Linked DNA regions of Medicago truncatula. The protein of the gene in region 1 interacts with the protein of each later gene in a biochemical or structural test. Links are inferred from orthologs where the notes say so. Each region holds a gene or a part of one and is shown in the gene's direction. Other genes may lie near its edges. The genes, in order: protein GRIP and ADP-ribosylation factor 1.

Region 1 (12,063 bases):
TCAATACAAAACGACAGTGAACCACTTTTACGCAAGAACGAGTATTAAAATGAGAGTATTAGCATGAGTGTTGTCATGATACAAAATATATATTTTAGATAATCAAGACAAAAATGTCTCTTTATTCATCAGGTAAAATAGAGCATAGAGTGTCCTCGTAAGCTTAACTCAGTTGATAGAGACAATGTATAATATGGATTCAAACCTCGACCACCACAAAAAAGAGCATAGAGTCACAACCCACAACTATGTTGCCAACCAATCATTCATCTATTCTATTCTGATAATATAAATCTTCATTTGAGTTTTTAAATTATTTGAAACCAACACAAAATCTTAGACCAAACCGCGTCAAAGAAATGATACTAAAAATATATACGATGAGATGTTTCATTCATATTGCAACTCCCTCACAAAAAAGGGAGATTCAATATTATGAATCCCACATCGAAGAAAAATATCTTTCGTTGATAGGCGATCATTTAACAACCACTCACACAAACAATGATATCTCTGTTGTTAACAATCTATTCCATGTAGCGTTAAACAACGACGGATATGATATAAAATCTACATTGAAAATCAACGGTAATCTTCTATAACTGTGTAATCTGCCGTCAAAATTATGGTTTCATTTTCACATGTCTTTCGGATTATGCTTCAAACTTCAAAGAAACATTAGTCAACAAAATCTTACAGTTCTCCACTAATTCTATCTTCCAATGAAACAATTATTTCTCAAACCTTATTTCCATTTGAACCAAACTTTAGATTATTAGGGTTTTTCTTTCAAAAAAAAGATTATTAGGGTTTTAAGAAAAATAAAATAAGTAAAAGAAAAAGGCGTGAAGCTTTTGATTTGATTGAACGGCTCAAATTGGAAAAAGGGCAAAGCAATCACCCACCCAACAAAGGCTATTTCATTCTTAACCATCCAACATGCTTCTTTTTCTGTTTCACTTTGTTTTGTTTCGATACTAGTTGCATTTTTTTTCATGCACACACACTTTTACAACAACATTAAAATAATTGTACTTCCACTTTTTTCCTTATCCCCGTGCGTGTAACCCGAAAACACCACCATTTCCCAACAACAGTAACGGTTCCTTCCTGCGATGATGTGCCAAAAACACCACTACTCAAAACAAAGCAAAGAATCATCGTCATCATCACTTGTTGTTACTACTAATACACTACCACTTGTTTTACTATTACACCCCCTCAAAACCATACACTACTTCAGTTACTCTTTCTCTTCTTCTTATTAAGTACTCGCATGGCTTGTGTGACTCATCACAATTGGCTTAATCTCTCCAACATGGTCTCTGAGAAACGCTTCCCTCTCTCTTCTTCCTACCGTCTTGAAAAAGTTTTTCCTGTTTATGCTATGGGTTTACCTGACCCGGATCCTGAATCCATCTTAGACGTGTCTGACCCTATTTGGGAAGCTGTTAAGCAAGAAGCTAAGCATGAGGTTAATATATATATATATTTTTTTTTACTTCTTTACTGTTTTATTAAAATGAGGCAAACTTCGCAGTGTAGCTTTTGCAAAATCACAGTGGCTCACGGTGATGGTGATAGCACACTTGTATTTTGTTTTGTCATTCAAATAGCAAATTTGCGTGTAACTTTTGCAAAATTACGTAACACACTGTGATATCAAACATGCATTACTATATTTTTGTTCGCAATTTAGTATCTGAAAGTAATTTTTTTTTTTTGTATATTTATTTATTTTGCCATTGTTACTTTCAGAACTAAATTGACATCATTAGTTTGATTTGAGTTGGTTGTGTTTGAAAAAGATTTTTTGATCGTGAAGTTATTAGTAGATTAATTGAGGGGTGTTGTGTTGAATTTGGGGGTGCAGGCAGAGAAGGAACCAGTTTTGAGTAGCTTTTTGTATGCAAGTGTTTTAGCACATGAGTGTTTGGAGCAAGTCCTAGCTTTTGTTGTTGCTAACCGTCTTCAAAGTCCTACTCTTTTGGCTACACAGCTGATGGATATAATCTGCAATGTTTTCATGCATGACAAAGCTATTCAGCGATCAATCCGCCTCGATGTTCAGGTGATTTCAATTGACCCAAAATTACTATATATTTAATGTGTCCGGTAAGAGATGATTGAATGCACGTGTACATATTTTGTACTATATATCGCCGCCAGACTCATCTTAACTAAAATAATCCGTTATGGGTTGTTTATGTTTTAATACTATCCGAAATTACTACATACTTATTATGTCGGTAAGATATGATTGAATGCACGTGTACGTGTACATATTTCGTACACTGATTAAATCCGTTACGTATAGACGGTAAGTATAGTTTGTGTTAGTCTCGCCGCCAGACTCTTTATAACAAAAAAAATCCGTTATGTGTCATTTATGTTTTAATATGTCGAATTCGAGACGTTATTGGTAATTTAGTCTTTTAATTTAATTTTATATTGGATTGAAAGTGTTTGCTGATGGTGATATAATTTAATTCTTGTTTATATTTGTAAACAGGCATTTAAAGACAGGGACCCTGCATGTTTGTCATATTGCTCAGCAATTTTGTATATGAAGGTTTACTTTCTGACTTGGACTTCTTATTGCTTTCTGATAATGCACTTTGTTCTTGCTTCCATTATTAGGGGATAATGGACTTTTTAAAGTTAATTCTGCAATACCCTTATTTGTAAAAGTTTTGTATTTTTTTAGCTTTCACAAAAAGTAATTTTTTTGAAGTGCTAGCACCACAAGTTTATAGGGACCCACCGCATTCATAGCATCACTTTCTATACTGCATCTTTTCTTCTCAGAAAGTTTTTACTGTTTGGTAAAAGTACAATTTATAGGGACCACTGAATAAGGAGCAGGACTACCAAATTTAGTGATGCTCACTGTTGCAACAGGATTTGTTAGTGAGTAAAATTGCTCCAATCATTATTGGATTTTTTTAAGAACAAAATTTAGCTATAGTACCATAAGTGTTATAGGTGTTGTTTTACACTAAAAGCTACATGAAATTTGAGATTTGAAAAATTGTTATGCTCTTTATACAACCTAATTACATTCATGGAGTTGTGGGTGCTGCTAGCTTTTTCACAGTTTCAGCACCATCAGATGCTACTGGCTTGTGTACTCAATTCAATGTATTTGCATTGATATCATTGTATTCGTGCGATTACAACCAAAATGTTTTATTGTGGATTTGGCGTTTACGTCTTCATAATGCCCTTTTTTCATGCATATAATAGCTTCATAGGACTGACATTCAATGTTGTGTTTTGGCAACAGGGTTTCCATTCTCTGCAAGTTTATCGAGTAGCTCATGCATTGTGGCACCAGGGACGCAAAGTCTTGGCCTTGGCTTTGCAAAGCCGTGTTAGCGAGGTAGCTTACTATTGGACTAAACTTGATAAATCCAATAGACACAAATGGATTTCATATTTCTGTTTCTGTCACTGATAATCGAACCCCTCGTCCTTTCCTTCACAGGTTTTTGGAATTGACATTCACCCTGGTAAGTTGTTATCATATTTGCTTTCGATTGTATAATAAATAACTTAATTAAGCACAAATTGACATATTTTACATGTAATAAATTTCTATCATCGAAGAAGCAATATAATGTTGCAAATAGATTCACTTTGTGCCTGCGAATTTATTATTATTTTGAATAACGGAGATTGGTATCATTGAAGCAGAAGGTATTCTTGAGGGTTCAATATTTAATTCTTGGAAGCAAGTTGATGATTAATGATTATCCTTACTTCAGCATTCTTTGTATGACAACTGACAGATAAAGTTCTGTCTTGAAGGGTGTTTGTCTCTCCACTGAAGATATTGAAAGCTCTTTGGTCATTGATTATATATCACTTAATTATTATTACTACGGTTGAACTTTACATTTTATGGTTTTTTATATAGCTGCGAAAATTGGGGAGGGAATTTTATTAGATCATGGGACAGGCGTGGTTATTGGTGAAACTGCTGTTATTGGAAACAGAGTTTCATTGATGCAAGTGAGTGTGTTTCTTCATTAATATCTTTTATTGTATTTATCTAGTTATTTTTGCATATTCGTTAACAAACCTTCATTGAAATGATAATAGTCCTGGAAACAGTTTTTGAAAGCTAATCTGATTTTACTTTTATGAAATGGGTTCATTAGATTACAATTGAACTTAAACAACTTTTTTGACAAAGCTTTTTGACTCATGCATTCATTATGCTCTTTAGATGATCATATATGTTTGATTTGGCAGGCTGTGACATTAGGAGGCACAGGGAAGGAATCAGGTGATCGCCATCCTAAAGTAGGTGAAGGGGCACTGATTGGAGCTGGTTCAACTATACTCGGAAATATAAAAATTGGTGAAGGTGTGATGATCGCTGCTGGCTCCCTTGTGTTGAAAGATGCCCCTCCGCGCAGGTATTAATGAATATCTATCTAATTGTCTATAAAAAATGCCTGGCAATGTTATTAAATAGCAGTGCTAAGCGATATCTCATAACGGAATTTGAAACAAAATGCTATTGTTATGCAATATGCTATTTAGTACAAAATATTATGAAATAGCGGCTATAGTGGTGGTGCTATAGCACTGTTGTGTAGCGGAATTTGAGCAAACTGCTATTTTCTGCGATCCTCAATTGTGAACACATGCTTAGTACTTGCTACCTGATTTGTTTCATATTAGAAGGTGATGATTTTGTATTTATTTTTTGTTTGCTTTGTCTTAAGTATTGTGGCAGGAATACCGGCTAAAGTTATTGGAGGTCTCCGGGAGCATGACCCATCTTTGACCATGAGACATGGTAAGCAAACCTTTGAGCATGACATATCATCGATGACTATGCTAATTTGTAGTTTTTGACGGAAATTATATTTACGTTGTGAAATTCTTATGGAATACATAATTATGCTTTTGTATGATACAAGGAGGCTGCTTTACTCTCGCACTGCAGTTCCTTTTATGCGGCAGAAACTATAGACTATAGGATTCATTTTAACCCATCATTGGAGTAATTTATATTTTTCCAATACATGTTGCCTATGAAAATAATTTTGAAATTAATTTTACTTTTTATTTATAAGAATCCACCAAAAATGAAACATATCTGAGTCACTTGGAATACCGGTCTGTAGGACATACTGATGAATCTGTTTTGTTGGTTTTTACGGCACTATCATATTGTCATCTATTCTTTAGGAAACTTCCCTAGCAGAATCGTATTGACAATATATTTCATTGTTCATGATATCACATAATATTTGTTCTCCTGATTGGGCAGATGCTACAAAACAATTTTTCTCTCATGTAGCTACTAACTTTAGAGATGAAAAGTCCAGTGGTTAGTTTTCTTTTCTTCAAGTCTTATCTTCCTGTTTAAATTCGAGAAAATTTCCACTACAAATAGAATTTATGAGCGCATTTTCGGTCCTCAATTGGCGTTCTTATCACATTGTACAAGCGGTTAACTACAATTATTTTCTTGTTCTCTATGCCTTAGATATTTTAATATGTTGCAGGAGAACAAAATCCAGACAAAATCGAAGTGAACACTTGAGTGGATTGGTTGCCTAGATCTCAGTTTGGATCGATTGTCTTCAAAGGAAGGATGTTGTTGTACTTAATGTTAGAATCATGATCAGTTCAAAGCGATGTAGTGGATCTCATATATTAATAATACATTTATTTTACTTGCAATTTTTGCTGCTGAGTGCCGAGGTTCTTGCACCAGTATAGCAAATTTCTGTAGACAAACTTTAAAGCAGATGCTACATGTCTCTTATCACTTGCTTCTTGGTCCTTTTCCTTTTCCTTCTAACATCTGAGCTTAGGTGACAGATATCCCATCTGGTATTTAGCTCTTCAAACAAACTTTGTTTCTTTTTCTCGATGAAAGGAGGATTTAAAGACCACTAAGCTAAGGACATGTTTGGAATCATGGCGAGTTTAACAATATAACGGTGACACCGTGATTTTGTCTAAGTTCCAAAGTGTAGGTTTTGCCAAAATTGTGAATCCACTAAACTCACTGTCAATCCAAACATGCATTAAAATACTGCAAAGAAAAAAGATCACAACAAAATTTAGCTTTCACCCCTTGTCAAAAATAATGGGTGATGACCAAGTCAGCATTAAATTTCAAACATCAACGGACAACGGAGATTCGATAAATAAGTGTTGAGATATTTCAAGGGGATGAAATTAAAACTACTTACATAATGTAAATCCACATATTTTGATCCACAATGTGCAAGATTATCCTTTGTATGCAGAACAAATTGCTTGATTACTCAAAAAATGATTGCAATATGTAGGAAGATTGAGTAGCTTGTCTAATTTGAGTTAAGAGTTGAATGAATTGGATGTTTCAAACTTTAGACAAAGAGAAAATATTAATGTAACATCAAATTACAAATATTTGCCTATTAAAAAAATGTTAAAGTGAAGCTAAACTCATCTTTAAAATAAGATGATTTATCTCTGTATATAGAAAACAATATTGTTAGAAGGAGAGACCTCTACTAAAAATGATCAACTAGCAATTGATTAGCGTGAATCAGATAAAATTCGTCATGCAACTGCAAAGATTAATCTGTTTAGTTTGATAAAATCTCTTTAATGAAAAATCTCTCCCCAAAATATTCAAGACGGTTGCATTCTCACTTTCATTGAAAGAGATAATTTAGAATCTATGTACTTTTGGATAGTCTATGAATACTTCCTAAGAGAAAACTTAAGGTAAAAATAAATTAAAGAAAACTTGGAATATACTCTGCCATAATTACAAATTATTACAAAACCTATACTTATAATTTTTTTTTGAGTAGGACGAGATTACTAGAACATCCCTGTGAAATCAAATTATTACAATCTCAGTAACTGGATCCGAACCTCTTTCTTTCATTGTTCGAACTACAAACGTAACGAGACGGTGACTGGACTGAACATTCCTAAACGGCACCGTTTTCTCCCCTTAACATCCGCCGCAGCTTCAGATCCATTTTGCCACCGGCGCCGGCGATCTCACCTTCACCGGCGGTTCCCGCTTCCTCCTCATACTTGTGCAATACAAGGTACACTCAATTCTGCAGAATCTCTACTATTCAATAACGCTTCTAGATTCGTCTTCATTTCTAATTCAATCACACATCGCAATGATATTGTGAAAATTGAGTAATGCTTTTGATTTGTTTTTGCTGATTATGTAACTTGTTTATACATTATGGTTAAAGTTCATAAAGTTGGTTCAGTTGTATGGATTATTATGGATGCAACATTTTGGAGTTGAATTTCAAGTAATTTAAATTTATTAATGTTTGGATTAGTCGTTCAAATAGTTTTTGAATTGTGATCGATAGATTTAGTACATATTTGGTTATGTGGTGATAAAAATTGATTTTGAATCAATTGAATGTGAAGTGGCTTATGTTTGTTTACATTTATGTAATGCGAGTTGAATAATAAAGTTAAGTGTGAAAATCACATCACATTTAGACTTAAAAGCTACAAATCTTAGCTTTAAGTTGGAATCAATTTTGGAGGCGAAATTAATTCTACTTGAGAGCAAAACTAACATGCCAGAGTCAATTTTACACCTCCATAATTAATTCAGGCCACTCCAAATGTGGAACCAAACATAGTCTCAAAATGTTTCAATTTTTAACTATGAAGCACGAATACCGACACGGACACTGGCACGCCGACACCAATAATAATTTGAGAAAATCACATAATTCAATGTAACTATTTGTGTCAGCGTGACACCTACGCGTGTCCGACAATTGGACACGTGTCTGTGCTTCATAGATCTTTAAATGGCAAGAATTTTTATCATGAATGCATGCTCAATTGAAATTTTCAATATGTATAACATAGTAGGCTTATGGCTATTGGATGTTGAATTGCAGCTTGTGCTGGTAAAACGTGTGATACGAGAAGTTGATAATGGGGCGTTCCAAAAAAAACAAGAAGTCGATGGCATCTGGTGAAGGTGATACTGGTGGAAAGATGGAGATACGCGCAGAAGATTCCTCTAGACCTGAAAACCATTTGTCTGATTCTGATATGAACCAGCAAAGGAAGGATGAAAGTGATGTAAATATTGTATTTGAAAATGGCTTATCTGATGGAAATGAAGGTCCGGCTGATACTGGTGGAACTGTGGAGATTCGCGCACAAGATTCGTCTAAACCCGAGGAGCATTTGTTAGATGGAAACGAAGGTCCGACTGATACTGGTGGAACGATGGAGATTCACGCACAAGATTCATGTAAACCAGAGGAGCATTTGTCAGATAGAAACGAAGGTCTGGCTGATACTGGTAGAATGATGGAGATTCACGCACAAGATTCGTCAAAACCTGAGGAGCATTTGTCTGATTCTGATATGAATCAGCAAAGCAAAGATGGAAGTAATACAAATCTTGTATTGGATAATCGATTCTCTGATGGAAATGAAGGTTCGGCTGATACTCACGATGAGCTTCTGCAAATGGTTGTTGACCTGAAATCTCAGAATGAATTCTTGAAATCCCAGATTGAGGGGTTTAGCAATGTTGAGAGTGTAAGTAGGGAATCCAGTATGCAGAAAGAAGTTGGTGGTACGGAAGACGGGGAATCTGACATTGTGAAAGAACTTCGAGAAAGGATAGAATTATTGAATAAAGAATTTCTGATAGAAAAACAAACCAGAATTGCATCCGAAGAAGCTTTGAAGCACCTTCAAATTGCGTACTCAGATGCAGAAGCAAAGGCCAAAGATCTCTCTGAGCAGCTTGTAGAAGGTGTGGTTATGTTTGTGCGCATAGTGGTTGCTAAAGTCATAAAGACATGAAGAAATTAATATTGCTCTAGAAAATTTTATCTTCCTTTGAATGAATGCATTGTGTTACTTTCTTGTGTAGCTCAAAATAAGTTGGAACATGAAATAAAAGAACGTGATGAGAAGTACTCTGAACTTGACGCCAAGTTGAATAGGCTTCACAAAAGGGCAAAACAACGCATTCAAGAAGTTCAAAAGGTGAAACATTGCTATATTCTTTTCTGGCTCGTTAATATTTTGATTTTGATATTGTCTATATTTCCTTGAAGTAATGCTACCTGAACAATCTCTTATCATGTGCTCAAACTTCTAATCAAGCGGGCCACTTAAACTCCCCCACCCTCTTAAACTTAGGCAGTGTAGCCACATTATTAGTTTGTGCGAGTGAGAGTACTCTTCACCTTTGCTATCTTATGTGATTGAAATTGTGGTATCCGTATGATCTATTTGCTTATAATTATGAACCTGGCCCACAAAATTCTTATATAAGCACAAAATAAGGATGTTCTTATTTAGTGCTTCAGCAAAACCTCCTGAAGCAATTTACTGAGGCACTTAACTGGATTATTTTCTTTATATTTATATAGAAGTGAGTTCATTTTTTCATCCGCAGGAAAAAGACGATCTTGAGGCACGATTCTCCGAGTTAAATGAATCTGCTGAGCGAGCATCATCCCAACAGTCAGCATTGCAACAAGAGTTAGAGCGAACAAGGAAACAAGCAAATGAGGCATTGAAAGCCATGGATGGTGATAGGCAACAATTAAGAAGTGCAAACAACAAGTAAGTACACTAACTTACTTTTCATCACGATGACTGATAAATAAACACATTCATTACCTAGAAATGTGTGCATCTTCAGGTGTGTCAGGATAAGCTATGTTCTGTTTTATTGGTAAACCCTGATTTCAACTGACTGGGCTATGTAGGAATTATTAGAAAGTAACCTGTGTTAAGTTGATCATGAATTATTCCTAGAAGGTTGCTTTAAAATCGGCCTCTAGGCTAACAAAATGTTTTTGATGTGTCTAAATAAACTAATTCTAGATATTTATGGAAAAAGGAGAATTCAAGACACTCATCCTATTTGTAATTATATTATAATTAGTTAAAAAAATCTGTGTTGCTCAGACTTCGAGATACCATTGAGGATTTACGGCGTTCATTGCAACCTAAAGAAGAGGCTCTTGAGTCATTGCAATTGTCACTTGCAGAAAAGGAACAGGTACATACAAATTATCCATATATTTTAATAGGGGGGGAAGTGTTTATTTGATTTAGATCTTCTGTATGTATATTGTGTTTAGCACTTTCGTCTTACTGGTAACTGGTTATAACTCGTGTCTTGTATCTTGTCGATGTTTGCATCTTTAACTTGACTCAGTAGTCAGTACACTAATCATGGCTGTAAACTAAATAATTAGGGCTTTGCATTTTATTAAAGAATATGTGCACACTTGCTGTTTTACCCAACTAACTTATTTTGCTGCCTCTGCCCAACCACAAGTTTGTATTTAGAGCGTAGCCAATAGAGACCGTAGTGTAGCATCTCCTTGGTGTTATGCCAAACCCCATTGCATTGCAGTTTTGGGTAGCGGTTGTAGCAACCACTAGCTGTAGGGGTCAGCCGCTTCACTCTTCTATTGGCCATTGGCTACATGGATTTTTAAAAAAATGCTTACTCTATCTTAGAGAACTAACGACTTAGAATAAGCTAAGTTCTATATATCCCAATACACACTCACAGGCCAAAGCTTATGGCTATGTCATCCTTTCTTAGACTGGTACTCTATTCCTTAAAATGGTGTTCGACATAAGAGTCCTTTTTTTTATCCTCTTATTATATAAGTCAAGACATTTTTATAGGAATTAAATCATTTTTGTCAAACTTTAAGTGTTTGCTTTGTGTTTTTCTCCCCTTGATTCAAACAGTTTTTATGAACAATAGCAGATATTTTTCGCAGAAATTGTGGTATTTCAAATTCTTGTAACTTCTTTTCTCTACATTTGTATCGGTATCATCAAACTTGTGTATTTATGTTATTTTTGTAGTACATCACTTGTAAGTAATTATATAACACTGTTTATTGGATATCACAAAATAAAATTTGACAACTCAGATGCTGGAAGATATGAGAGGATTGCTTCGAACTGCCGAGGAAAAAAGGCAAGCTGCACTAGCTGAGCTCTCTGCTAAACATCAAAAGGTATGTGTTGTGTGTATATTTTATCATCTTTGCCTGGCTGTATTCTTAGTTTCTCGTTTTGGAGGATTTTGTAATCTTTCATCACTCATCAGATTCCTTATTCTACTGATCAGAAAGTGATCTTTCATCTCTACTATGACATTTGTATATAGTTTCACCTTGGCTTCAATTCAATGTTTGTTTTCTGCAGAATATGGAGAGTTTGGAGGCTCAACTCAATGATGCTGTATCTGATAGGAGAAAGGCAGCTGAATCCATTTCTTCACTGCAGGTGAATTTTATGATCATGAGCTTTTCCATACATGATATGTTTCAACAAGGTGGGGAGGAGAAGCTGCTAAGTTGAAAATAATGTTTCATAAGTTAAGAAATATCCACATGTGGCTTTATTTTTCAGTTCATGCTTAGCTTCTTTAGTATCTACTTTTACATAGAGCTTTGCAAGGGCTAGATAACCAGAGCATATAGCCCCAAAACCAACAGTCTATTTAAATTTAGTAAAGTTCAGCCTATACTTTCCAAACTTGCTAAGCCTGTAATTAATCTAACTTTGGAGGACGAGCTCCATGAGCTGAAAGGTTCCTTATTTGGGAGACATTCCATTAACGTGCTTTGTCATACTTGCATATCTGACTTACATTTAAATTCTTTCTGAATGTTAAATTTAGAGTCCCTGGATTCATTTACCGGCAAAAAGTATATTAATTGTAATTAGAGAATATATTTTTCCCTGGGTTGACTAGTATTGTGCCAATATTTTATCCAAAAAATCTATGCTACCAAACACTTCTTATTTATGAATGCATGTGTTCTTAGACATGTCAGAAGTTTCCGGCTGATTGGCTGACCATGCTCAATCGACTAATGCCTTCAGGTTCTAGTTGCAGAGAAAGAATCTAAAATTGCAGAGATGGAGGCAGCATCAACTGGGGAAGCAGCACGGCTCAGAGCAGCCATGGAAAGTGTGAAGGGGGAGATTTCTCACGTAAAACAGGAGCATGTATGGTTCTGAATTTCAATATGTATAAAT
Region 2 (11,609 bases), on another chromosome or scaffold:
CCAGACCAAAGGGTATTTTCAATTTTTTTGCAGGGTGCACGAGAAGCAGGCAGGGTGAAAAAAGTGATAGTCTTTGTATTATACAAGCTCATCAAAAAAATGATTTTTGTAATATCACACGCGCACGCACGCACCGAGAAAACATGTGTACTCGTAGATATATTTGATTTAAGAGTTGCTTCAATAATATATGCGGCAACTGCAATTCTTGATAGGTTTTCTCTGCTATGAATATCATCAAGAATTGAATGCGAAATCACAAGAGAGATAAATGATTAAATGATTGTTTATTTAATTTTATATGAAAAGGTTTTTAAAGAAATTGAAAATTAGAAAATCATTTAATGTTTTTAAAATATGAGAAATTGCACACAACAACTATGATGTTTATTTATGTTTTTAAAAAAATTCATTTAATACTTCTTAATTATATGTATATTGCCTTCACTAGTCGAAACTTCTGGGTCTGTCCCTGAATGACAACCACAATAATATTAATTTTTTTGTTGATTGAAACCATAGTATAACCAACGTGCATTAACTGCTCCAACATGAGTTAAATCACGTTCAAAACACCAACGTAAATTAAGTCACGTTGGTAACTTTTTTTGCTCTTTCAGTCATTTTTCCATTGCCACACATCTTGACTATGGGAATGCAGATTCAATTTGGTGGTAATAATAATTAATTAAAAGCTACGAACCTCATTGATAATTGGCAAGAATTCACTAGCAGACTGCAAAAGTACCCCCATCATTATTACCCTGAAATAATAATAGATTTCTTTTTTGTTAAAAAAAAAAAAAACAAAATATAATAATCTCCGTCGCAATAATTTGGATAGAGAAATTATTTCTCACTTTTTTATTGCTTCTCCTATTTGTTGGTCCCTTGATATCCATCCCATGGCTTCCAGTATAGTTCAGCCAACAAAGCTAAATAGCTACAAAACAAAATTATAAAGAAAATCCAAATTAATTATATACAAAATAATTTTATTTTTTAAAAAAATATACTAAAATGATGAGATTATTTGATTAAAAAAATGTACTTTTTTTTTGGTCAAGTAGCCTAGTGGCTAGAGCTCACACAATTTAATTGTGGAGAAGTGGAGTGTCCGGGGTTCGAATCCCAGCTCCTGTATATAATATGCAATATCCCTACGAACTGAACTAAGCTCATGGGGATTAAAAAAATGTACCTTGTCTAACCATCTTCCACTAACAAAGGCCATGGGAAAATGTCTTGCTAGGTCCTTCAATGTCACTCTCATATAATTCAATAAAAAAAAAAAAGTTACATTCTATCAATTTTATAAAATGAATTCAGAATCAAACGTTAGTGAACAAAAGATCAACCTTTTTGCTCATGTAGGCTTTATCTGGATCTGCTACAATTGGAGAGAAAGTTCCATCATAGTCGAGAAAAACAGCAGTTTGTTTCCCATTTGTATTGTACATTATTTGAAAAAGCAAAAATGTTACTAATGTGAGTTAACTCACACCGGTGTTCTGAACGTGATTTCACTTATGTCGGAGCAATGTATATTAACGCATGTTTGTTATATCGAACGTGAGTTAACTCACGTTGAAGTTATTTTTTTCGGTAGTTTTGGTGGGAATGAGCAAAAATATTTGGGAGAAGAGCAATTTTCTAACGGCCGATGTTGAACACATAGTGGGCCTTGACCCTCATTTTTATTTGCAAAAAATAAAATAAAAATAAATATCATTAGTAAGATACATGCTCAACTGAAATGATCTTTGTAATATCGCGCTCGCACGCGCACACACAAATATACATATTTTGACCATCTTTGTAGTAGGTTATAGTATAGACGGGAAAAAAAAAACATGTTGCGTACTTGTCGATATATTTGATTTAAGAGTTGCTTCAAAACATGTTGCTTCAATATTTGGCAAGCGCAATTGTTGATAGAGTTTTCTCTACTATGAATATTATCAAGAATTGAATGCGAAATTGCAAGAGAGATGAATGATTAAATGATTGTTTATTTAATTTTATATAAAAAGTTTTTTAATGAAATTTAAAATTAGAAAATATTTAATGTTTTTAAAATATGAAAAATTGCACACAACAACCAACTATGATGTATATTTATGTTTTGTAAGAAATACATTTAATTCTCTAAAAAAAAAAATACATTTAATGCTTTTTAATTATATATATATTGCCGTCACTACTGGAAACTTCTGAGTCTGTCTCTGATCAAATGTGACTTATTGATTGATATAATGATAAAAATATATTTATGCACAATGTGACTTATTTACTTGTGCACACATAAATCAAACATCATTTGTTATTGAGTGAGTGTATTTCACCATCTGAATTCTACAACGATTCACATATTTTTGGAGTATACTTCTAAACAGGGACGAAAGGACATGTTATGTTCTAGGGGATAAAGCCTTGCTCCCTTTTTACATTATTCTATATGTATCCACCGTGTGATGTTTTGTACTCTGATTTTGTCTTTTTGCAGAAGAAGAAGAAGAAGAAGATCTAGAACAAACTTCAGGAGAATTCGTCCACAATTATGAGCTAGAAAAATGTGGTTTTAACGATCTCTTCCTTAGTTTAAACCAAATGAGTTTTGTGAAGTACAATATTTATACTTTAATCTCTAGCAAATATCATCGTATGAATGTTGAATTATGCTTCAGGGATGGATTTGGCGTATTTACGAGAGCCAAAACACATTATATCCAAATCACTCTTGTAGTTTTGTTCCAATAGCCAACAACATCACTAATTATTTCAAAAGCTAATTCTTATCCATTTTATCTCCCCTTTTCAACTATCAAGTGGCCCTTTGTTTTTTGCTTTTCCTCCTTTCTCCCCATCTTGTATGATTTTGGTGGAATATATATAAGCTGATTAAAAAATAAAAAAAAAGTGAACATGGTTATTTCAGGCATCAAGAAATGAATGCTCTATTTTTATGTTGACTAAGAAGGAGCATGACATATACTAATACTACTATTGAAGTTACATGAATTCTAATTACTGTACTCTTTTTTATTTGTCATTTTTTTTTTCTTTTTACGGTAGCTTTATTTTATGGTTAATACAGGTGAAGGTATATCTTTCAACTCTCTTGCAAGCCTTTTTCCACTTTTATTTTTCCATACTACATATATTGGATGAATTCTTTATCTGAATTTTTTTTTTCCCACTGAATAATCTTTTTTTAAAAGGTAAACAATTAACTTTTATGTGACACTGAGATTAGTATATAAAGCGTCACATCATAGTATAAGGTCCGTTTATGTATTTTTCTTTTCTTTTTTTCTCCCTAACAATTAACATTGAATGAAATGCACAAAATGTGATTTACTCAAAAAATAGGATGTTGTCTTTGAATTTAGGCGCTGGTACTGATGGGAGTGCTACCCAAATACCCATTGACCCTCTATGTCACAAGATGTCAAGGCAGCCACCATATGTAGTCTCTATTTCTACCTGGTTTTTGAACTATCTAAACAATTTTTCACCATTCACCATAATTAATTTATTTGAATATACTTGGTTTACAGTTTGATGCCCCTATAGTATCCTCTCTGTTTATAGCTGTATTAGAAGGATGAAGAGTTTGTTAGATTTTTGTTTCTTTCAAAAGAGCTTATAGCTAAAGGATTTATGAAAGAGAATATTCCGTGTTTGAATTTGAAAATTGTTGATGGAGCATTATACACAAAATTTAAGTATTTGTCTCTGAAAGAATTGGAGAATAATTTTTTGCTTGCATATAATATCTCTTTAGTTAAACCGAGAAATATCCACTAATTGAAAGATTCTATTGTTAGATCCTCTACCCTCTATGAAAAAAATACTTTCTATGGTCATTCAACATGAAAGACAGAATAATCTTGCTCCCTCTCGATGATTCCAAAGTATTGATTAATGTTGTTGACTACAGGAAACTTCACTCCAAATATAACAAATCATCTTCCTATTAACTGGTTCTTGCTCTAAAATGGTGCAAGATTTTGCACCCTTTGCAACACATCAGGACACACTGTTGAAGTATGCTATAGGAAGCATGGATTTCGTCCTTACGTGCAGAGAAATTCCAATTCTTCTGTTCACAATGTATCAGCAGCTGATGGGGGTGAATTCAATGAAATTCAACTTCACAGAATCACATCGTCACATCAAAGCAGCTTCGCCTAGCATTACTTAGGATCAATATGATAAGTTGATGACTCTTATTAAAAATTCAAGCATTAAAATCATAAGTCAGGTCTTGCAGTTTCTAATCAACTTGTCATTTTTCAGTTGATAAGCAAGGTAGTATTATGACTCAGAGTGAGCATCCCCTTCCAAATGCACGGACCAAAGATGCTAGCCAAGGAGAGGTTGATCCAACTGAGGTAATGATAATAATTTCAAAACATTCATGATACATCTCAAGTTTTCTACTTGTTTAGTGCTCAATTGAAGATCCTTTCTTTCTCAATAAATAGTTCTGTCAAAGCATTAATCCACACTATGCGGAAGAAATTTTGTTTATATGGTACTTTTTCAGCTTCTATTAATGTTCCTGTGTGAATCACTGATTTCCTTCTAATTCATTTAACATTACATCTCTTGCCGTCACATAAAATCAATTTATACTCGAGTAGCAAAACCTTGAAAATTAGAATTTATCTTCAACTGAGTTTGGTGGAGAGCTTTTCTGGTCTTTCTATAATAATAATTTTTTTTTTTTTTTTTTTTTTTTAGGGAAGGTGTATATACACATTTAGAACTCCCTATTTATCAATCTTTAACCACTAACTTAATTGAAAAAAATAAAATTGAATTGTACATTCCTGTTAATAAAAAGATTAATCATATCAATTTCAATATAAAATAATATATCAAAAAAAATTATATTTCATTTAGTAATTTTTTTTTTTGGTGTTTTTCACTTATCATTTATCCATCATACATCATATATTTGCAACTAATTTAATAAATAAAATTAACATTGTCCTTAAAAAAAATTTAACATCGATAAAATGTAATAAATGTTGAATTAATTTTTAAAATGATATTTCATCAAAAACAAAAATTTAAAATGACAAATAATTTCAGAAAAATAAAAACTCTAAACACATACTAATATTGTAAAAAACGACCACTCATTGGCTTTGACCAGGTCAATATTAAGGAGGGCCACTTTTTACAAATGAGATGAAAGATGGAGGGCTAAAAGTATGGGCCAAAATCGATGGTTTTGGGAAGTTGAAGGGGTCAAAAGCTCATTTTAGTCTAAACTTTTATTAATCGATGTGTTTGGTTCATCTATTGCAAAACACAAAAAAGAACCCCAAACACTACAGCGGGGGAAAATTCAGTTTGTTCAGGGTTTGAGTTGATGTCACATTTTCAGGGTTGAAGGATCAACTATACCAAATCAACTGTCAATTCAACCGCAAAGACACGAACGGTGGACATCGTTGAGTATCGTCGTTCATCAACTAACTTAGATGGAAACGTCCAGTTCATCCATATGAAGCTTAAAAACTGTCGACGTGAGAACCATGATCTAAATATTTGGTCAGTACAGTACTATAAAATCGATGGAGTTGGACACATCATTGGTTAGATCAATCGAAGATATTCATAAAGGTTGAATTCAATCCAAAACCTAAAAAGAAATGAGGGCTTGTTTAAAATCACAAATCACTTTGTTGTCGGTCTTGTTTACAAACGTATTAAGTGGTCTTTAAACAGTTGTTTGTACGTGTTCTTGCTTGAAACGTGTTTCGGCGTTAACTATCGTTGAGACGACAAAAGTCACATGTTTCGACGTTAACTACCGTTGGGACAACGACAGTCAAATACGTATTTCAACGTTAACTATCGTTGGGACAATGACAATCAAGTACAATAGACAAGCAAACATGAGTTTCTAGCGGTCGAGGGTATTTTTGTCAGTTTAGCAAATACTGTAGTCTAAAAGGAATTTTCGAAAACAAGTAACAATAGATCCCATAACTGAAAGGTGGAGGAGAAGAGGGTGAGTGAATCCAAATCCAAATCCTGATTCTCATCATCGTTTCGTCCTTCCCTCTTCCATTCGATTCTTCTATTTTCCGAAACCTAACCTTAATCCTTGAATCGCATCGCATGCACTTCCTCTCGCTGCTTCTGCTCTGAGATCCGATCCGATTTCAGAATAATCGAAGAATTCTCAATCCGAATCGTTTGCACCTGATTCATTCATGTTCTAATCGTAATCCCTCTGCCGCCGAATCGGAAGATGGGATTAGTATTTACTAGACTGTTTTCATCTGTTTTCGGTAACAAGGAAGCTCGAATTCTCGTTCTCGGTCTCGACAATGCCGGAAAAACCACCATTCTCTGTATGCTTCTTCATACTCTCTGCATCTTACTCATTCAATTCGCTATTTTTATTATTAATTTCTTTCATTTTTTTTTTCAGATCGGCTTCAGATGGGGGAAGTTGTCTCTACCATTCCAAGTTCGTACTCGATCTCGTTTTGCATTGTTTTGAATCTTCATTTTGCTGAATTTTTTAGTTTTAGATTTTCAATTCTAGTTATTAGCAATGCTATTTTGTTCAAACAAAATGTTACAGCATGGGTATCTTATTTATTTTTTATACTTGCATGTATGGATGGATGTCTGATTGGTTTATTTGATTATTTGATACAGCGATCGGGTTTAATGTTGAAACTGTGCAGTATAACAACATTAAATTTCAAGTCTGGGATTTAGGTAATCATTTTAATTAATTTGCTTGGTTCACATGAATTCTTTTTGTATTTTATGTATGTTTTATGGTGTACATGCTGTTAAACATATTTGAAACCGACTACAGAGTCATAGAGATGACCATGTGATCTTTCATTGTTGAGATTACCATGCTATATTTACAATTTTGCATCTTTTGATCATAATTTAGTATAGGGATAACAAAGAGTAAGGTACATTCGCACATGTGCATGTACGAGCTAACTACGTTTAACAAACAAACAATGAAATATGTTTTCCCTTTATTTTATTTCTAAGTTGTAAAACAAAAGCACTATATTAAAATTTAAACATGTAAAAAACCAGCAATAGAGAAATTATTTATAAAAAATGTAATATCTAACTCGATGTGAAATTTTCCAAAAGGTCTTGCAAATCCTAATTATCAAACATAATAGATAACGATTTTTTAAAAGGTCTTGCAAATCCTAATTATTAAACACAATAGATGACCATAGTGTGGTAAATTACCCATGTCCTTACATGTTTAGTGGTAAAAACTCTACCTTTAGTGGGCAATTTTTGTAGGTAGTTATTGTGTCCTGCGTTTTAGTCCAATTTCCATCCCTTTATAAAGTAGGCGACTTACATATCTTAATGACTTGTGGGTTGCAAACAAAACAGAGTTTGATGTCACACCAAGTTAAGTTTTATTAGTTTTTCCCAGACAATCTAAGGCCTTTTATCTTAGAGGTAGGAATGAACCAGCGGATGGAAATTGGACTAAAACGCAGGACACAATAACTACCTACAAAAATTGCCCACTAAAGGTGTTGCTCGGGTTTGGCTTAAACATGAACAAGCAGTACTTATTAAGAAAGTTAGCCTATTTTTTTCTTCTGAAGCTCGGATAACTTGCTCACAACAAGTTGCTTGAGCTTGATGAGCCAGGCTCAAATCCTATACAACAACCACTGTTGTTCCTCACTAAAATCCTGTACTCGAAATTTTGAATTAACTTGTGAACCTGGCTTGACTTACCTCCAACCCTACACGCAGGACTCTGTCAACTGTCGTGACATTTCTGTCTCATGTTAAATACTAGCAAGCATACATGGGCTCGTGTTTTAAACTTAAAGTTTGCTGGTCTCATTTTTGGGTACTGTAGTGATAAGTGAAACACGAAACAAAGCGAGTTTGGATAATTTTGTCCTCTTCTGGCTGGTAGTTGTTTTTTTATCTATATGCAGTATTAAGTTTTGATGTAGTGCAAGCGAAGATAAAAATAAGCTGAAACCTTTGACAACATTTATTATATTTTCCTTTGTCAAACTATTTTCTTAGTATGAATGAAAGAAAATAAACAGGCATCAAACCTTAAAATATAGTTTATTACTTACAGTCAGTTGAGCTTATAGTTACATGAAACTTAATATGATATAACATAGTGCTATTATAATAAGCCCTGGCTTGTTTCAATTTCTAATATCCAACTTTTTTTTATACAGGTGGGCAAACAAGTATCAGGTAAGCCTTATGGTTTCATTCTTGCATCTTTTGACTGATGGAAAATGTGTATTTTTTTTAAAAAAATTTACTATAACAACAATAGCTGGTGACTTCTGATGTGTTACAATGTCATACCAATAGAATTTTTTTCTATCCCTTATTCAATATTATGATCTAAATCAATTGCGACTACTCCACTCATCATGCAATTCCTTTTTTTTCTAATCCTTTAACTCTTCCATATTTCTGTTTAGCTGTAAATGAACCTACTATAAAGTCCTTGATGTGTGTATTTCTAGTAAGAAGATACCAATCCTTCTGCAGTTAATTAGTGTGAGTATGTGTGTGTGTGTAGGTTTCAATAATATAAATATACATGCCTAAAATCTAAAAGAATAAAACGTAATTGAAGAAAAACAATGCATAATGACAATATCATGCACGATATTGTAGGTTAAGGACCAAATATAATGAGAAGTTTCAATATGCTGTTTAATCTGTTAAGAAACCTGGTATTTTATTAGGGGAAAAAAAAGACTCCCCCAACAACAGAAAGATGCCACAGAACTTGGAGGGTCTGCACCTCTGTATTGCTAAAGTTCCTAATTCTCTCCCAAAATGACAAGGGGTTCTCTCTTTCAACCCCTCCTTTTGTTTATAGGCAACATACCTTATTTCTTCTGACCATCTCGGTCCAACAAATAACCTAAGTCACTCACTCTTGCTTAGATATTATCAAACACATAACACAATCTTATTCATTTTTGAAACTACGGTAGCTCATGTTGTGGAAAGAAATGCCTTATGGATTCAAAGATGAATTTCTCTTGTATTAATTTATTTATAGTGTTAGACCCAAGCAGTCTTGCTCGTTTCCGATGTGTCCCCCTATAATTTGAGTTTTTTTTACATTTCCTTTAAGGATCGTTTTGCTATCATATACTTGTTTCTGTCCAGTTTAAACAAAACTGCATGTATAAGCATGCGCAGCACAAAAATATGTCATTTCAAAAAATATTTCAACACCCAGAAAAGATCGCATACATTACTTCTCAGTTCTGACATGCCATTTCACTTGTAAATGTGGGAAAAAAAAATATATGGCACTAGAATGATTAAAAGAACAAATCACGGGAAAATTGAAAACCAGGTGGACCAAACCACAAGATGGGAAACTAAATTCATCCCTAATAACTATGTAGTAAATTTCTATAACCTTTTACTGTCTTTGATTATTTTTTTGTCCATAGGCCATATTGGAGGTGTTACTTTCCAAATACTCAAGCAATAATCTATGTTGTTGATTCAAGTGACACTGATAGGCTTGTGATAGCTAGGGAGGAGTTCCATGCAATTCTGGAGGTATATGTTCCTGATACAACACACACCCACACACACACACACACACACTTCATCTAGACCTTTGGCGCAAGAATTCAGTTTGTTCCTCTTAAAATTCTCTTGTAGCCTATATTACAATTTACAAGGGATTGGTGGCTCTAAGTTGTATTTCTAAAGTATATTGATTACGTGAAGCTTGAACATTTTGAAAGAGGACTATAGAAGGATGATGTAGGTGTTATTTGTGATTATAGGCGTCTCCTAAGCTAAGAGGAATTAGTTTTTGACTGAATCTAGTTCTGGTGTTTGATTCATCCTAGTTGGAATAGGTTTTGATCCTTGTTTTGAATGTTTAGGGGCCTGTTTTGTTTAAAAAGTAATTTTTTATTTTCTATTCCTTATTTTTACTGGTAATTACAAAAATGCTACTTCGTTGTAATTGTATTTACTGTTTTAGAGGATTTGTTTACAAAATGGTGACTACATTTTTGCGTTTTCATCATTTCATGCACTCCTTGATAGTCGGGAACAAATTAAAACTATGGTGACATTTTGTATTTATCAATAAAATAAACTGAAATAATGTTTTCTCAAAAAAAACAAATCCTTAGCAATTGTAATTTTATTGTGGAGGTGTTTTCATGAATCTGAAATTTGATTAATAAATATGCATGTGCCTACTTGTCAATTTCATTTCTTGAGTCATTATAATCTAGTGCATTTTTTAATTTATGTGTGTGTGTGTGTTAAAATTTGATGCCTAATTGATTTTTATCCGTTTCTCCTTTGACTATGGTTTTGTTGTCTGATGTGATTGTGATTTCAGTTTTACAAATAACAAAATTAACACTAATTATTTTCTCTGAACCTTTTTTTCAGGAAGAAGAACTAAAAGGTGCAGTTGTTCTCATTTTTGCAAACAAACAGGTCAGAATTTGATTCATAGTTGTTGGATGCTCATATTTTCACTAGGGGGATAAGAAGTAAAGGCTGGATATATAAGAGTTATGAAGCTGATATGATCGGGCTTAACTAATTATTTGCACATGTACATAGATAATATGGCAAATATAGTGTAAAACTTCTCATGTGTGTCCCGTTCCATTATGCAGGACCTACCAGGTGCCCTTGATGATGCTGCAGTGACGGAGTCTCTTGAGTTGCACAAGATTAAAAATCGCCAATGGGCTATTTTTAAAACTTCTGCTATAAAAGGCGAAGGACTTTTTGAGGGCCTTGACTGGTAAGTCTAATAAAGTTGAATGCTATTTCAAGGTAGTTAAAGTATATCAAATATCGTAAATAAGGTGATGCTGCATTGTTAATTTATACTTTTTCATTTTTTCAGTATTTAAAGGATATTTTTTCCAATGTTATCAATCATCAACTCAGTTAGGAATTATTAAAAGCACAGTTTCAAACAAAATTTAACCCTTTTTTATAGGGACTAAAAATACATTTAACCCTTTTTTATATCTCAAACAAAATTTAAGGACAGTTATTCTTATGGCTACATAAGTATGAATGTGCAGCGATCTTGGTAGTTTTGAATAGTTGTCTAGTGACATATATGCAAAATGTAGAAATTATTATGGTCTGCTGATAGAAACCCAATGTAATAGTATGAGATTTAACCTTACTTATGGTCGTTTGAAATGTGATGGGAGGTATTTCTTGGTCTAGGAAATACATTTGAAATGTGAAGGGAGGTATATCTTGGTCTAGGAAATACGCCTATGGACTTTTACGTTGTGTAGTTATTAATGGGTCTTTCTTGTTACTACTAGTTTGATATTTGCCAATGTTAATATCACTGTTCGAGATGTTTAGAGTTACACTGCTTCAAGCTGAAAGTTTGATATAACCTTGCACTTCCTTGTTGCTCACTGGGGTTACGTGATGCCAAATGTTAATATGTAGGTTGAGCAATACACTCAAATCTGGAGGTGGCTGAAGGTGCAAGCTTCAGCAAATTAGATATATTTAAATCGATTGGTGAATTCTGAAGGATGGTCGACATTTGATTTTTG

The links.
Region 2: the proteins of protein GRIP (region 1) and ADP-ribosylation factor 1 form a complex in vitro, tested with the Arabidopsis thaliana proteins (2 studies listed by BioGRID). The link is inferred for Medicago truncatula from reciprocal best matches to the Arabidopsis thaliana genes ATGRIP and ARF3.

The regions. Positions count from the first base shown.
Region 1 is NC_053046.1:9,461,759-9,473,821, forward strand, and holds the start of protein GRIP, read left to right. Parts: upstream 1-6,844; 5' UTR 6,845-7,079; intron 7,080-7,913; 5' UTR 7,914-7,950; coding exon 7,951-8,788; intron 8,789-8,908; coding exon 8,909-9,024; intron 9,025-9,439; coding exon 9,440-9,609; intron 9,610-9,957; coding exon 9,958-10,051; intron 10,052-10,946; coding exon 10,947-11,033; intron 11,034-11,223; coding exon 11,224-11,304; intron 11,305-11,907; coding exon 11,908-12,033; intron 12,034-12,063. Other genes in the region: serine acetyltransferase 2, read left to right, coding at 1,277-1,474, 1,874-2,071, 2,513-2,572, 3,287-3,382, 3,488-3,512, 3,920-4,014, 4,258-4,424, 4,737-4,810 and 2 more. UniProt on the Arabidopsis thaliana protein: Golgi matrix protein playing a role in tethering of vesicles to Golgi membranes and in maintaining the overall structure of the Golgi apparatus.
Region 2 is NC_053045.1:61,803,202-61,814,810, forward strand, and holds the start of ADP-ribosylation factor 1, read left to right. Parts: upstream 1-5,987; 5' UTR 5,988-6,274; coding exon 6,275-6,377; intron 6,378-6,457; coding exon 6,458-6,496; intron 6,497-6,690; coding exon 6,691-6,753; intron 6,754-8,237; coding exon 8,238-8,256; intron 8,257-9,488; coding exon 9,489-9,600; intron 9,601-10,458; coding exon 10,459-10,506; intron 10,507-10,691; coding exon 10,692-10,822; intron 10,823-11,499; coding exon 11,500-11,533; 3' UTR 11,534-11,609. UniProt on the Arabidopsis thaliana protein: GTP-binding protein involved in protein trafficking; may modulate vesicle budding and uncoating within the Golgi apparatus.